2 linked regions of the Danio rerio genome follow. Each later gene encodes a partner of the first gene's protein in a complex. Links are inferred from orthologs where the notes say so. Each region holds a gene or a part of one and is shown on either strand. Other genes may lie near its edges. The genes, in order: naa50 and hypk.

Region 1 (6,476 bases):
CAGCCTGTCTCCCTATGCAGGGTCAAAGGTCAACTGCGCGTGCGTGAAACTCTACATTGCCCCCTAGTGTGTGTGGAAAAATAGTGCTGTGAAGGTGGTTCAGCATTTATGCATGCATTAATCCCTTCTTTATTAACCATTACTAGACTCAAATAATTAAAATTTTGTTTCAAATTGAGTTTTAAAAATACCTATTTAACAAGTCCTTGATTTTTTTTCTCATATTTACACATTTTGTAAATGCAAGTTTTAATATATATATTTAAAATAAAGTATAAAAAATGAAACAAAAAATTAAAGGATATTGTAAGCATATGTTAAATTAATTTAGTAAAGATACAGATCTTCTAAATAATGTTACCCATTTCAGTATTATCACTAGAGGAAAGAATAAGAAAACTTAAACAATAATCCAAGAAACTCAACAGGGACTGTGCTGTGGCTTTTATAAATAACAGAGACATGGACGATTACACAAATACACTTTTTTATGGAAAGGATGAAAAATTTAATAGGGTACAATATTTACTATTAGGGCGGCACTATGGCTCAATGGTTAGCACTGTCGCCTCACAGCAAAAAGGTCAGTGGTTTGAGTCCCAGCTGGGCCATTTGGCATTCTGTGTGGAGTTTGCATGTTCTCCCTGTGTTGGAGAGGGTTTCCTCTGGGTGCTCTGATTTCTCCCACAGTTCAAAGACATGCGCTATAGGTCAATAGGATGAACTAAATTGACCATAGTGGATGTGTGTGAATGGGTGTGTGTGGGTGTTTCCCAGTACTGAGTTGGAGTTGGAAGGAAATCCATTGTGTGAAACATATGCTGGGTAAGTTGTCAGTTCATTCCACTGTGGCAACCCCTGATGAGTAAAGGGACTAGCTGAAGGTAAATTAATGAATGAACTCACAAGTAACATGTTTGAGGTAACAGAAATGTCCATTTAAAAAAGTAGTGGAGATAATGCTTAACCAAAAAGAGAGAAATTGCTGCAAAATATAACATGAAAATGGAAACCAGAGAGCGTACGTTTGAATCTAGTGTAATTCACATACTTTGATCTTCTCATATGGACAGTACAAATACAGTGTATTTCACACCAACAAATCTTGTTTCCCTTCAATCTGTCATTTAAATTTGATTCTCCTTCCACACTTCCTTCCCATCGCTTGCTCTTCTCTCAACTCAGCTCACTTTGAAAGATCAAGTCAAAAGACAAATGTTCTCTGCCAATAAGTGATTTTAAGCATCATCTTTGGAGGCTTTTCTGTCTTGGTATTCAAGTGTCAAAAGGTTCAGCATGGTTCAGATCAGATCATCTTATATGCTAAACACTGCCTTCTAAAGTCATTTGTTTATTTTCCTTTGGCTCAGTCCCTTTTTATTAGGGGTCACCACAGTGGAATGAACAACCAATTAATCCAGCATATGTTTTACTCAGCGGATGCCCTTCCAGCCGCAACCCACTGTGAAAAACCTATAAACTCTTGACACACACTTACACACTACAGCCAATTTTGTTTTATCCAATTCACCTATATCGCATGTCTTTGGACTGTCAGAGGAAACCCAGGCGAACATGGAGAGGACATGTAAACCCCACACACAAATCCCAACTGGCTCAACTGGGACTCGAACCAAGAAGAAGCCACCCCTACCTTTAAACTGACTATTGTAATTGTATTGTAATTGACAAAACACATGTTTACCTGACAAGCAGTGATGGAAAGAGTACTGAACATCATACTCAAGCATAAGTACTGTTATTTGCCAAAATAATGCAGTGCAAGACACTTGTAAATGTATCTGTTTTCTAAATACCACTCGATGTGTGAGTAAAAGTAGCCTTTCTAAAAGTACTCAAGAAGAGTAGTGATTAGGCTATCGCATACTATGCTGTGATTAATAAATTATTTTACCTTACACCCTTCAAACTAAAAATGTAACTTTCGTTGGTGGCATTTTCTTTTAAGGGTGTTTCTACGTGTAAGTAGACAGTCATGGACTATACATTTAAAATGTCAGATTAATTTAATTTTAGAACACATTAAATGAATATATGCACCTATAATAAGTCAACAGATTGCAGCAAGTTGATGCATTTATATGTGGAGTGAAATCTGTGTAACCTAAGGGGCAAAATCTTGCTGTAATAAGCAAATAAAGGAATTTTTAACAGTGTAATTTTGAACACGGTATTGTGAGTTTAAATATAAGTTTGAAATACAAGCCAACACAAACTCAAAACAATAAAACCTGGTCTGGTTTCACAAACAGGGAGAAGATAAATGTTTTATTCCAAGGACAACACTTTTATTTATTTTACAAAATATTCTTGTATTAGATCACGTCCATGAAATATGTTTTTATTTTTTTTTAAATCCTTCTAAGTCTTTAGAGAAGGAGATTATACAACATTTTATTTGGATTAAAACAATAAGACTTGTATTATTAAGTCACAAAAACGCAATTTCCCGTTTTTTTTCTATTTCCTGTTGCTAGTTGTCAGTGGTGAAGGTTGACAGCAGCAGCCTCCCAGAATTCAAGGTTGCCAAATCAACCATCAGTAACCACCGACTAATTACTTATGTATAGTCGTAAATGCCTATTTCGGGGTTCAATCTCAACTCATATGACATAATTTATATCTATAAATGAACATTATCGATAAATCAACTATAAAAAACAACTAAAATATCGTTTTCCTAATTCACAATCTGATCTAAGTTATATGTGTTGGTTTAATAGGAAAGACTTGGCAACCTTCGGCCACAGCACAGAGGCAAATGCGGACTGCTTAGCTTGTGTGCTAGCAACATACATGTGGAGGGGATCACATCCCAAACTCTGCCCAAATTTCCCTTTAGACTGCCAAATACCGCCAACTGCCCCTGTATCCCTCACAACAAACGTGTTTTCTTCAACATGAAAGGGTGAGTAGACGACAGAGAAGGCTCTATTCCTCTCAAGTAAAGTTTTCCCCTCTCTATTCTCTTTTTTCCAGCAGGGGGGCAGTGGAGTTGCTCTAATGCTAGCTGTTAGCTCTCTGCGCGCTTAATGTGGAGAAGAGACATTTGCGCCGCGTTTTTACACCTAGTTTTACCTTAATCTTTTCCCAAAATCTCCAGAAAATAGCTTAAAAGTGCCTCATGTAATCTAGCACCAGATTAAATCTTATGCCAGTACAAACGGCACGAGTGAAGTCCGTGCCAAACTGGATCGTGTGTCGAATCTAAATCCGAAAATGTTGAGTCAGTCTTCAAGTTGCTATCTTGGTTAGCAAGCCAATCTGAAACCTCTCCCAAATGGGCGCCCAGATGGATCGTTACATTTAATAGCAGTGTATTAAAGCTTGTTGCTGTCATGTTGGGGTTAATGTGAGATTATTTTGATGTAAGAATTGAAATGTGACACACGTGATGGAGTGAGCTTAGCCGCATAGCATGTCCTCTTTGAAAATGACAGAACAAGTTCATACGGTCTTAAAACACTTTATGAAGGACGATTCTTTAACGTTTGATGGATGAAACGATGCATAAATATGTCTAATATGCTACGTTAAGCTCACTGTAGTGGTTTGCTGTGACCATGTGTGTAGAATAAAGAAAAGTCAGCGATATTTAAATTTTTATTCTAAATCCAATTCTGTTTTATATCATAAAATATTTCATATTTTAAAGTTTTGAATTCACATCTGTAAAAAAGTGGTACCCAGCCCTGTTCCTGGAAGGCCTCCAGCAGTACACATTTATCCGACACACCCATTAAGAGTCTCTGCTATGGAGCTGAAGGGAATCAGGTGTTTCACTAGAAAAAAACATACTAAATGTATTTTTAAGGGGCCCTTCATGAACAGAAGTGGTGCACCATTGCTTTAAAAGTCTGCAATATCATCTGAAACGTATTTACTCTCATCGCTTTACCAAGCATTGGTAAACTTTATTATCTAACTTGTTTTAATCAGTGGACTTTGATTTCAAGACCGTGTATAGTAGTATAGGCATTTGTTCTGTGATCATAAGTTCTGTAAACTCTATTTAGTGTGTATGTTTTTCTCCTGTCAACTCATGCTGGTTGTTCAGTGGCAGTGGTGAACATGTGACCAGCAGCTGTTGTTGGTGTTGGGCTTCAGTTTGCTGCCTCCCTATAAATACCTGCTTTTTGCACTGCTGGTTTACGGTGATCATAGTTATACAAGAAATGTGTAGTTTTGTGGGTGCACCTTTAGGGTATCTCTCTCTCACACACACCCACACACACGAAAGATAAATGAGGATGTGCTGATACTAAGTTATTATAGGGGTAGTTCACCCCCCCCACCCCCACCCCCCCCCCCACCCCCCCCCAAATACAATTTTCTCACCATTTATTCGATCTAAGGTGTTTCCAAACTTTTACAAATTTTTTTCTTCAGTTGAACACAAATGATGTCGGAAAAAAGAAACCAAATTTAAATTAATGGCTGTTTTTTTCCTATCATTTTTCAGTATATCTTCCTTTGTTCAACAGAAGAAACTCAAACAGGTTTGACATAAGTGGACTATGAGGAAACAATGACAAAGTTATAATTTTTAGGTGAACTATCGCTTAAATACAATACAAATTTTAATATAAAATAAATGAAATACTCTGTTGCATTCAACTATAGAAGTAATTTAAGTATTACACCATTAAATGTGATTAAATAGTGAAGATCATGTATACATTATTAATTTTACTGTTCCTGAAGTTCAATGAGCACAAATGACAATGATGTATAAATCTAATATTAGGTAAAAATGGATATCCATAGACGCTTTGTATGCAGCAGAATCAACTGATAACTGATATTGTACTAATATCTTGGGCTTTTCTAATAGTAAAGCTGTAATATTGTCATTTATGTGGACTGTTTGCTGACCTGACATGTAAAGAAAAGGACATTGTTTGTCAGTTCACAGCTAGTTGACCATTCTGCTTTTGTTCTAGTAGCCGGATCGAGTTGGGGGATGTTACACCCCACAACATTAAACAATTGAAGCGTCTGAATCAAGTGATCTTCCCTGTCAGCTACAACGACAAGTTCTACAAAGATGTTCTTGAAGTGGGAGAGCTTGCCAAGCTAGGTATGTAACAACGCTGATGCAAAACACTTACATTTGAATTCACTTCACTTCACAACAAAGCCGTAACTCAACTGTTCAGGACATAATAAGAACTGAAATATTTTGTGTAGTATTTTTTCGAATAAAAAAATTCTAAAGTCTATATATTGTCAAGACCAAATAAATTAAAATAAACTGAAGCTAGCAGTGAGTGTAAAAACAAAATACAAATATTTTATCCTTTACTGTCAAACAAAATGCGTGCAAGCTTTTCATTTTTTGATAGCTTTACATTAATGGCATTTTATAAGTCAGTTTGGAACATAAGTCACCGTAAATCTCAGATAATAATAAAAATATTGTAATTCTGTAAGTCTTTTTTTAGGGCCTTGTGATTAATCAAAATGAAATGGAGATTGCAATTCATCAAAGGCTGTGATTGTCATGCACATCCTGTCAGTGAAATTTGACTCTGTGATCACTAGTAATTCTCCTCAGAAGGCCAGAGGGTGCACATCTGCCGCAAAGAAATAAGGGAACTGTTTCATTGATTCAACGTGACTAATAAACTATACAACTTATTTCAAGCACTCCATGGAAGTTATGAGGTACGTTTGTAGTAAACCCATGTAATTAACCCTTTCACGTGTATGATCTCAGCCTTGGCTGGTCCTTGAAGCATACGATCACACCGGTTTGATTAGAAAATTCATAACTGAAGGCGCATGCTGAGGCACTGAATGTAGTGCTCAGCACTTGTCATAAATCACAGTTTATCCATGCTTCAAACAAATAACATTTATTTTAGATTTCAGACTTTCAAATACACAACTACAAGCAAAACATGCCATTTAAGGTTTGAAAAATATCTTTGGAGATGGCAATAATCATTATTTTTCAATATAACTGGAATATGTGCTTTGTTCACATAAGATACACAGTTTATGTTACTAGAATATTTTCTCTATTCCTCTCCCAGATAAATATTTGCTGCCCTTCATGTATTTCAGCAGAAATTTATGAATATACACAATAAATATAAGTTTGCAGTTAACGAGAAGTATTAATATTATTTATTAAATTTTGCATAAATTGTATTTTATTTGCATCTACCCCAATCCCAACCCTCACGGTAATGTAAAAATTTGTTCAGTGTCAAAAAATGATGCCATATTGGTGTGAATATCCTCAGCTCTATCCCCTCTAGACTTAATGGTATCTAGATCTAGACTGTGCTGAAGTCTTAATAGGATACAGCCAAGTAAACTTGCATCAATATAGCAATTAGATCATTAGGGCTGGTGGGTCACAATAAATGCATCGCCATGTGAACTTAAGAACTCAATGGATTCTAAGTAATGGTCACAAAAAAACTTATGCAGAAGGGTCAGCTGGA
Region 2 (6,316 bases), on another chromosome or scaffold:
TAACAGCAGATCTTTCAGCCCATATTACTGTAGTGATGTTTACATACTTTAAACTTTTGTAACTTAGAAGTCATTTGACTAAGGTCAGTCTTGAAAGAGTACTGCTGACCATACAAACTAACTTTGCCATCTGAATAAACAAAGGCCACTGATCGCTTACTTACCAAATCTGTAAGAGACAGGACAATCAACTTCAACTGGAGCTGCGTCTTTATTAAAAGGAGACGAGCGGCAATTCCGCATTTCACCATTTCCAGATGAGAAAATCTCTCGGGTAAACAATGTTTCTTAGACACGTATTTCTGCCGAGTGTCGCGTGCACTGTTATCCACACAGGAGTCCAGTTGCGCTCTCATAACGGGAAAATGAAAACAAAAACCTTCCTTGCAGCAAATTATAAAAGCAACACTGACGAATCGTATCTCCAAACAACTCTTCTCCAACTTGTTTTGGCAACTCAACGTGGTGTCTCCCTCTGCCGTCTGAATACTGTACAGATGCAAACAGTCTTCGAAGCTATCATGCATATTAATGAAGTTTCACCGCATACACAATAGAGCATGCTGATTGGTTTGAACAAGCCTTTCTTATGAATTAATGCAGCACATTTAGAAACGTCATGAAGTCCTCCCAGGTACAGACAGCCAGCTTACACGCTGGAATGCACACAAGTATCTAATCGGCGTGACACAGCTTCAAAAATTTTTTCAAACCGGAAGAATGAATTTGCTCGAAATAACGCAAAAACAACCAAATGGTCTAATCCAATTCAGTGGTCTAAGCTAAGCTAAAAGTTCTCCCATTAGATATGCTGAATGGATTGAAAATTGGTCTAACTCTAGGCAACTTAAAATGAGCCTATTTTTTTAAAAAGTGGAATGTTCCTTAAAGAGTCTTTTCTTTTTGTGTTGATTGTGCAAAGTGCAGTTAAATATAGTCCTGACTTCTCCATTTTAATAGTCTAGAATCTATGTGAATGCCAATTTCACTAATGATCTGTGTGCTTTGTAGGTCAAAAACTTTGGACGTTCTGGACGGACCAAATACACACACTTGGTGGATCAAGACACCACTTCATTTGACTCAGCCTGGGCTCAGGAAAGTGCTCAGAATAGCAAGTTCTTCAAACAGAAGGCAGGGGGCGTGAGAGACGTGTTTGACCGGCCAACAGTACAGAAGAGGAAGACATAATCCTGTTCATCACGCCAGAAAGAGCAAATTCAGCTCAAACAAGGACACTTTTTTTTTTACTTTTCCCCTCCTCTACATCACTCTCTGTTTACTAGTGTCTTGTGCAGAAGTAGGAGAAATCTCATAACAAAGACATTCGATGTTTATTGCAGTTGAAATCCAGTACATCTAGATAATGTTTGATTGCGTGTACAGAATTGAGGCTTTTGTTTCACTTTCTAAAAGAAAAAAAAAATGTACTTTTAGTTGTTTTATGGTAATAAATTACTGTGACACTGAGCTCATTGGAATGCATTTCCAAAAAAAGGGGGGGTTGGAGAATGTAAAGCATGAAAAGGGGTGAGTTGAACTATTGAGGGCTGTTAAAAATGGTTCCTTTATTACAGAATAAGTACAGTGTGGAAAAGGTAAGGTCATCACAAGCGGGAAAAAAGGCAGTCCAATGTGTCCATATACAGCTCAAAACTTTCAATCTCCTCAGTTGGTGAGTGCGATCAGAGCCTCCACCACATTCCCCATGTGTTCTCTCAGACTGCGCTCCGCCACGGCTCTGGAAATCTCCATCTCTCCCATCTGAGAGAAACACGTTAACATGTTTATCCTCGTCAAATCATCTAAATCAGTGAATGCACTGCTCTATACTTACTATGAGCTCCACGTCTTCTTTCTTTATTGTTACTTTGGCCAGCTCCTTTTCTCTGTGGAAGTGACATTGTCATTTATTAACCACGTATTTTCTCTGGCAAAATGTGTGTTTTAATGTTAAAGCGATAGCTCACCCAAAAATGAAAATTTGCTGTTAATTTTACTCTTAGTCCCTCTCGGAACATACAATAGTGAGGCTTTTCAAGTTTTGAAAATAAGAATATTTTTGAGGAACAGCACATGCTAGGGACACCTGCTGGCCGAAATCATGCAAATGCAACTCAAACTCAGGGAAAACACTGCTTTTTTAAACATGTTGCAAACTTTAAATTGAAAGTTTAAACCATAAATGCACTACTGCATAATCTAATATCATGAAATATTTAATGTATACTATATAATATACATTCATTTGTACCTTTTCAAGTCTTATATCATTTGTGACATGGTGGGATCTGATAACAGGACAAGAGACAGGGTTATACACATTTTACAACTAAAAATCCAAGACTTAAGTAAATTTTCATGACCTAATGTTTCATGCAAAGTCCACACATGCCTGGTAAAAGAAAAACAATGCATGTTCAAATATATAATAGCATATTGGAAAACACTCAGCAATTCACTTAGTTTTAATTTAGATTTCCATCTATGTAAAATTGGTTAAGATAAGGCTTACACCAACTAATAAAGTAAGAGTATGTGATTGGCCAAGGACAGAAAAGAAGTCAAGACATCTAACCCAATGTTTCAGCAACATTTATTCTTCCATGGCAGGGGGCCACACCAAAATTCATCCCACCATGGCTATATTACAGCTTCTCAATCAAAACATTTAGTTGCTTGTTTGTTTTTTAATAGCGGGTTATATATCGCACCAAAACGTATTAAAATGCAAGTGAAATATATCAGCGCAAACTTAGTGCTGTGCGTAATTCGTTTAACCCTTTAAGGTGACATGCTGACTGACAGACACACACACACGTTCTCTCCTAACCATGACATGTCCACACTAAATGGTTATAAGAGACATGTTTAAAGGGTTACATGAATACATGCTTTATTTTTTCTCCTCAGTATGATGAAAGCTTCACTTCAGTATCATACTTAGAGGAAAAATGTGCTTTATGCAATGGCACAATTATATAAAGCTTGAAGCATCAGAATCGGTACTCTTTATCAGCCAATTGCATGACACGGAGTCAGTAGTCAACATGGGCTGTAATGATCTTGATCAGAGCATCCCTATTTAAACTCAGCGTTTATGTCAACAATAAAAAACAAAAACGTTATTTGTTTTTATACCTATTAAGTAAGTAACTTTTTGCAGATTGTCATTTTTCAAAGCTTCTGTCTACCAAGAACATTTGATATAATGTAATGCTTAACGTTATATTCTACTAAGAAAAAAAGGTTGCAATTTGGCTGACCCAAGAAAAAGTACATTAATAGCAAATTTAAATTTTTGAGTGAATTATACTTCAAATGAAGGTAAGGATTGATGGGAATTGCTCACCTTTCTTGTTTTGCCTTCTGTTCTCTGGATCTTCTGTCTCCAATCACGGACATTGCCTTAAATAAAACAACTACGTAAATTAATTTTGAAAACCCAAAACATTAACCATATACTTTATTGAGAGGATCAACACTGTTCTTTAAATTTCCTACACTAATTACATTTTTTCAGGGCGTTGACATCTCGGCATAGTAAAGCACAAATTATTACACAAACTTATTTATTGAGAGTTTCAATTACTAATTTGGTAGTTCAGCAACACATAGAGGTAAAGTTGGTTTTATATTTGCACATTCTAACTTTCCCCTTAATAATTTAATTTCATAAAAGTATTATTAGCCAACTAAACAGTGAAATCATATTAGCAGCCAATGACTATCAAAGTACAACATTGTTCACAGTCAAATAAACAGTGTTAATGTTGTTTTTAAGTCACACTGGCATGCTAATTCCGATCGAATATTTAAAGTAACATGGTAAAAAATATAGATACTTCCAAGTTAAATGAACGAATGTGCGAATATAAAACCAACTTTACCTCTATCAGCAACAGGTTGAAAAATCCGCCGATAAACTTGACAATATCAAGACATTGAAAATTAAGACTTTGCACGATCAGATGTATCGTAGTTCATTGAGTTTTAATACAGAAACCTGCTGTGCACATGGCTTCACTGCTAGCCTGACTAGCTTCATTCGCTTTTAAAACTCACCGTTTCCAAATTTGAGCTGGATATTTCTTTTTCCTCCGCATAGTCGGTAACCTTTTCTAAATCAGCAGCTCCACTGTCATGCTTTCTCGGCTTTTCTGTCGGTTTTCCCGTACAGTTCTCCTCAGCCTCCAGATCCAGATCCACATCTCCTTCAGCCGCCATGTTTGATTCCTCGCGCAGCCGGAACGAAAAACAGTGATGAAAAAAACCCGAACTGACATTCATGCAACACACTATGAGGTCACGTCACGTGTGTAAAAATATTATAAAAGGATAATGCTTTGCAGTTTGATATATAACAATAATTTTAATAACATCAATATTTTCTTTCTTTTTTTTTTCATTTAATGAATTTTTTTTCATTAATTAATTAATTTATTTTACGATGGCCTAGTCCCTTTATTACTCAGGGGTCACCACTGTGCAGTGAACCCCCAAGTTACCCAGCATATGTTTTACGCGGCAGATGTCCTTTCAGCTGCAACACAACACTGGGAAACACCCATACACACTCTTTCACACACATACACTATGGCTTATTCAATTCACCTATAGCGCATGTGTTTGGACTATGTGGGAAACTTAAGCACAAGAAGGAAACCAATGCCAACACAGAGAGAGCATACAAACTCCACACAGAAAAGCCAACTGACCCAGCTGGGGCTCGAACCAGCAACATTCTTGCTGTGAGGCGACAGTGCTAACCACTGAGCCACTGTGCCGCCTTTTATTATTATTATTAATATTAGCCGTTTATATAAAACTATAATTCTTTGCAGTTTGCTAATTATTATAATACTCACTTTTTGGCTTATTCTCTGGTTATCAGGGGTCGCCACAGCATAATGAATCGCCAATTACTCTGCCATTTGATTTACTGGTGGATGCCACGCACTACAACAAACTTAATTTATTCAATTCACCTATACCGCATGTTTTTGGACTGTGGTGCAAACCGAAACACCCAGAGAAAACCCATGCAGACATGGGGAGAACATGCAAACTCCACATAGAAAAGCCTCCTAAGAAGACCTGAACCCCTGTGTGCAAAACTATAAATCTGTCTTCCGTCCCCCACCTCATCACACGACAACCCCAAAACATTATCAACTCTGAGAGTGCCTCGCACAAGTGAGGGGGCTTGACAATCCACCTGTAGAAAACACATCTTTTAATTTCTGACACTTTAAGCAACACTAGTTTTGCACATTTGGATTAGAAACATTCTTACAATCACTCCATATATATATAAAAAAGAAAAACACACCTCCCCTCTAGCATTTATATGAGCACAAACAGTTCCTTTGTATAATTAGCAGGTATTGCCTCTTCTTGTTAAATCGCTGTATGCCTTCTCTATTGTAAATCGCTTTGGACCAAAGCTTTTTCTAAATGACTAAATGTAAATAATTCATAATGTCTGTAGTAAATGCACACCCTGATCTGACGCAAGAGAGAAGACTATAGGCAGGGGTGTCGATAGACTCCAATGGGGCATGTGTCCCAGTACAAATGGCCAGAGCTCCAGTGAATGTGTTTAGTTACAGTTTTTCTTTATATGTATTAATTAATAGTGGTCATCTCAGAATAAAGACGTTATTCTGTGTGCTGGAATAGACTGCACAATGGCGTTAGTTTCCAAAAAAATGTATTGAGATTAATTAAAGTCTTGATATCTTTCTCTTTGGCAGATAGGCATGGAGCATGTGAAGAAACAAGGAGACACAGCTCACCTCTGACAAGTACATCGTAATAAATTAGCTACGATGTAGAAATTACATCAAATGTGTAAACAAACGATTAATAAACCATTCAAATACATCTTATTTTTCAGGAGGAAAGTTACAGCGTGTGCTTTATTCCAATTGTTTTGAGTGAGGATTATTCATGCATTGTTAAGTGAGGAATATTTATAACATACTAAATATCTTATAAATGACACTTCAAGGCTGTTATATTGTTTACAGAATAGGGAAATGACAATTGAACAACAGAGATTCAGCACAAACAAATATTCATTTAAAGATAGAAAAATGAAACAGTACAACTGCATCAAATAAAAAAAAATAAACCTTTGTAATAAGAATGTGCAGTTTACACACTGCTGAAGTGTCAAAATAGAGGGTCTGTACATTAAACAAATTTGATAAAACAGCAGCAATAGCCTATAATTAAAAATATAACAACAGGATAAAACCTTTCAGTGTTATTTAGTTTAAACTCAACTATGTTTTATTTTTAGAGATTACGC

Evidence for each region.
Region 2: naa50 (region 1) and hypk share a complex: the UniProt entries of both Homo sapiens proteins name them as parts of the N-terminal acetyltransferase E (NatE)/HYPK complex. The link is inferred for Danio rerio from reciprocal best matches to the Homo sapiens genes NAA50 and HYPK.

The regions. Positions count from the first base shown.
Region 1 is NC_133199.1:25,052,414-25,058,889, forward strand, and holds the start of naa50 (N-alpha-acetyltransferase 50), read left to right. Parts: upstream 1-2,802; 5' UTR 2,803-2,921; coding exon 2,922-2,929; intron 2,930-4,964; coding exon of another isoform or gene 4,965-4,967; coding exon 4,968-5,101; intron 5,102-6,476. UniProt on the Homo sapiens protein: N-alpha-acetyltransferase that acetylates the N-terminus of proteins that retain their initiating methionine. Has a broad substrate specificity: able to acetylate the initiator methionine of most peptides, except for those with a proline in second position.
Region 2 is NC_133182.1:52,248,201-52,254,516, forward strand, and holds hypk (huntingtin-interacting protein K), read right to left. Parts: upstream 4,233-6,316; 5' UTR 4,228-4,232; coding exon 4,066-4,227; intron 3,409-4,065; coding exon 3,353-3,408; intron 1,890-3,352; coding exon 1,838-1,889; intron 1,765-1,837; coding exon 1,669-1,764; 3' UTR 1,552-1,668; downstream 1-1,551. UniProt on the Homo sapiens protein: Component of several N-terminal acetyltransferase complexes. Inhibits the N-terminal acetylation activity of the N-terminal acetyltransferase NAA10-NAA15 complex (also called the NatA complex).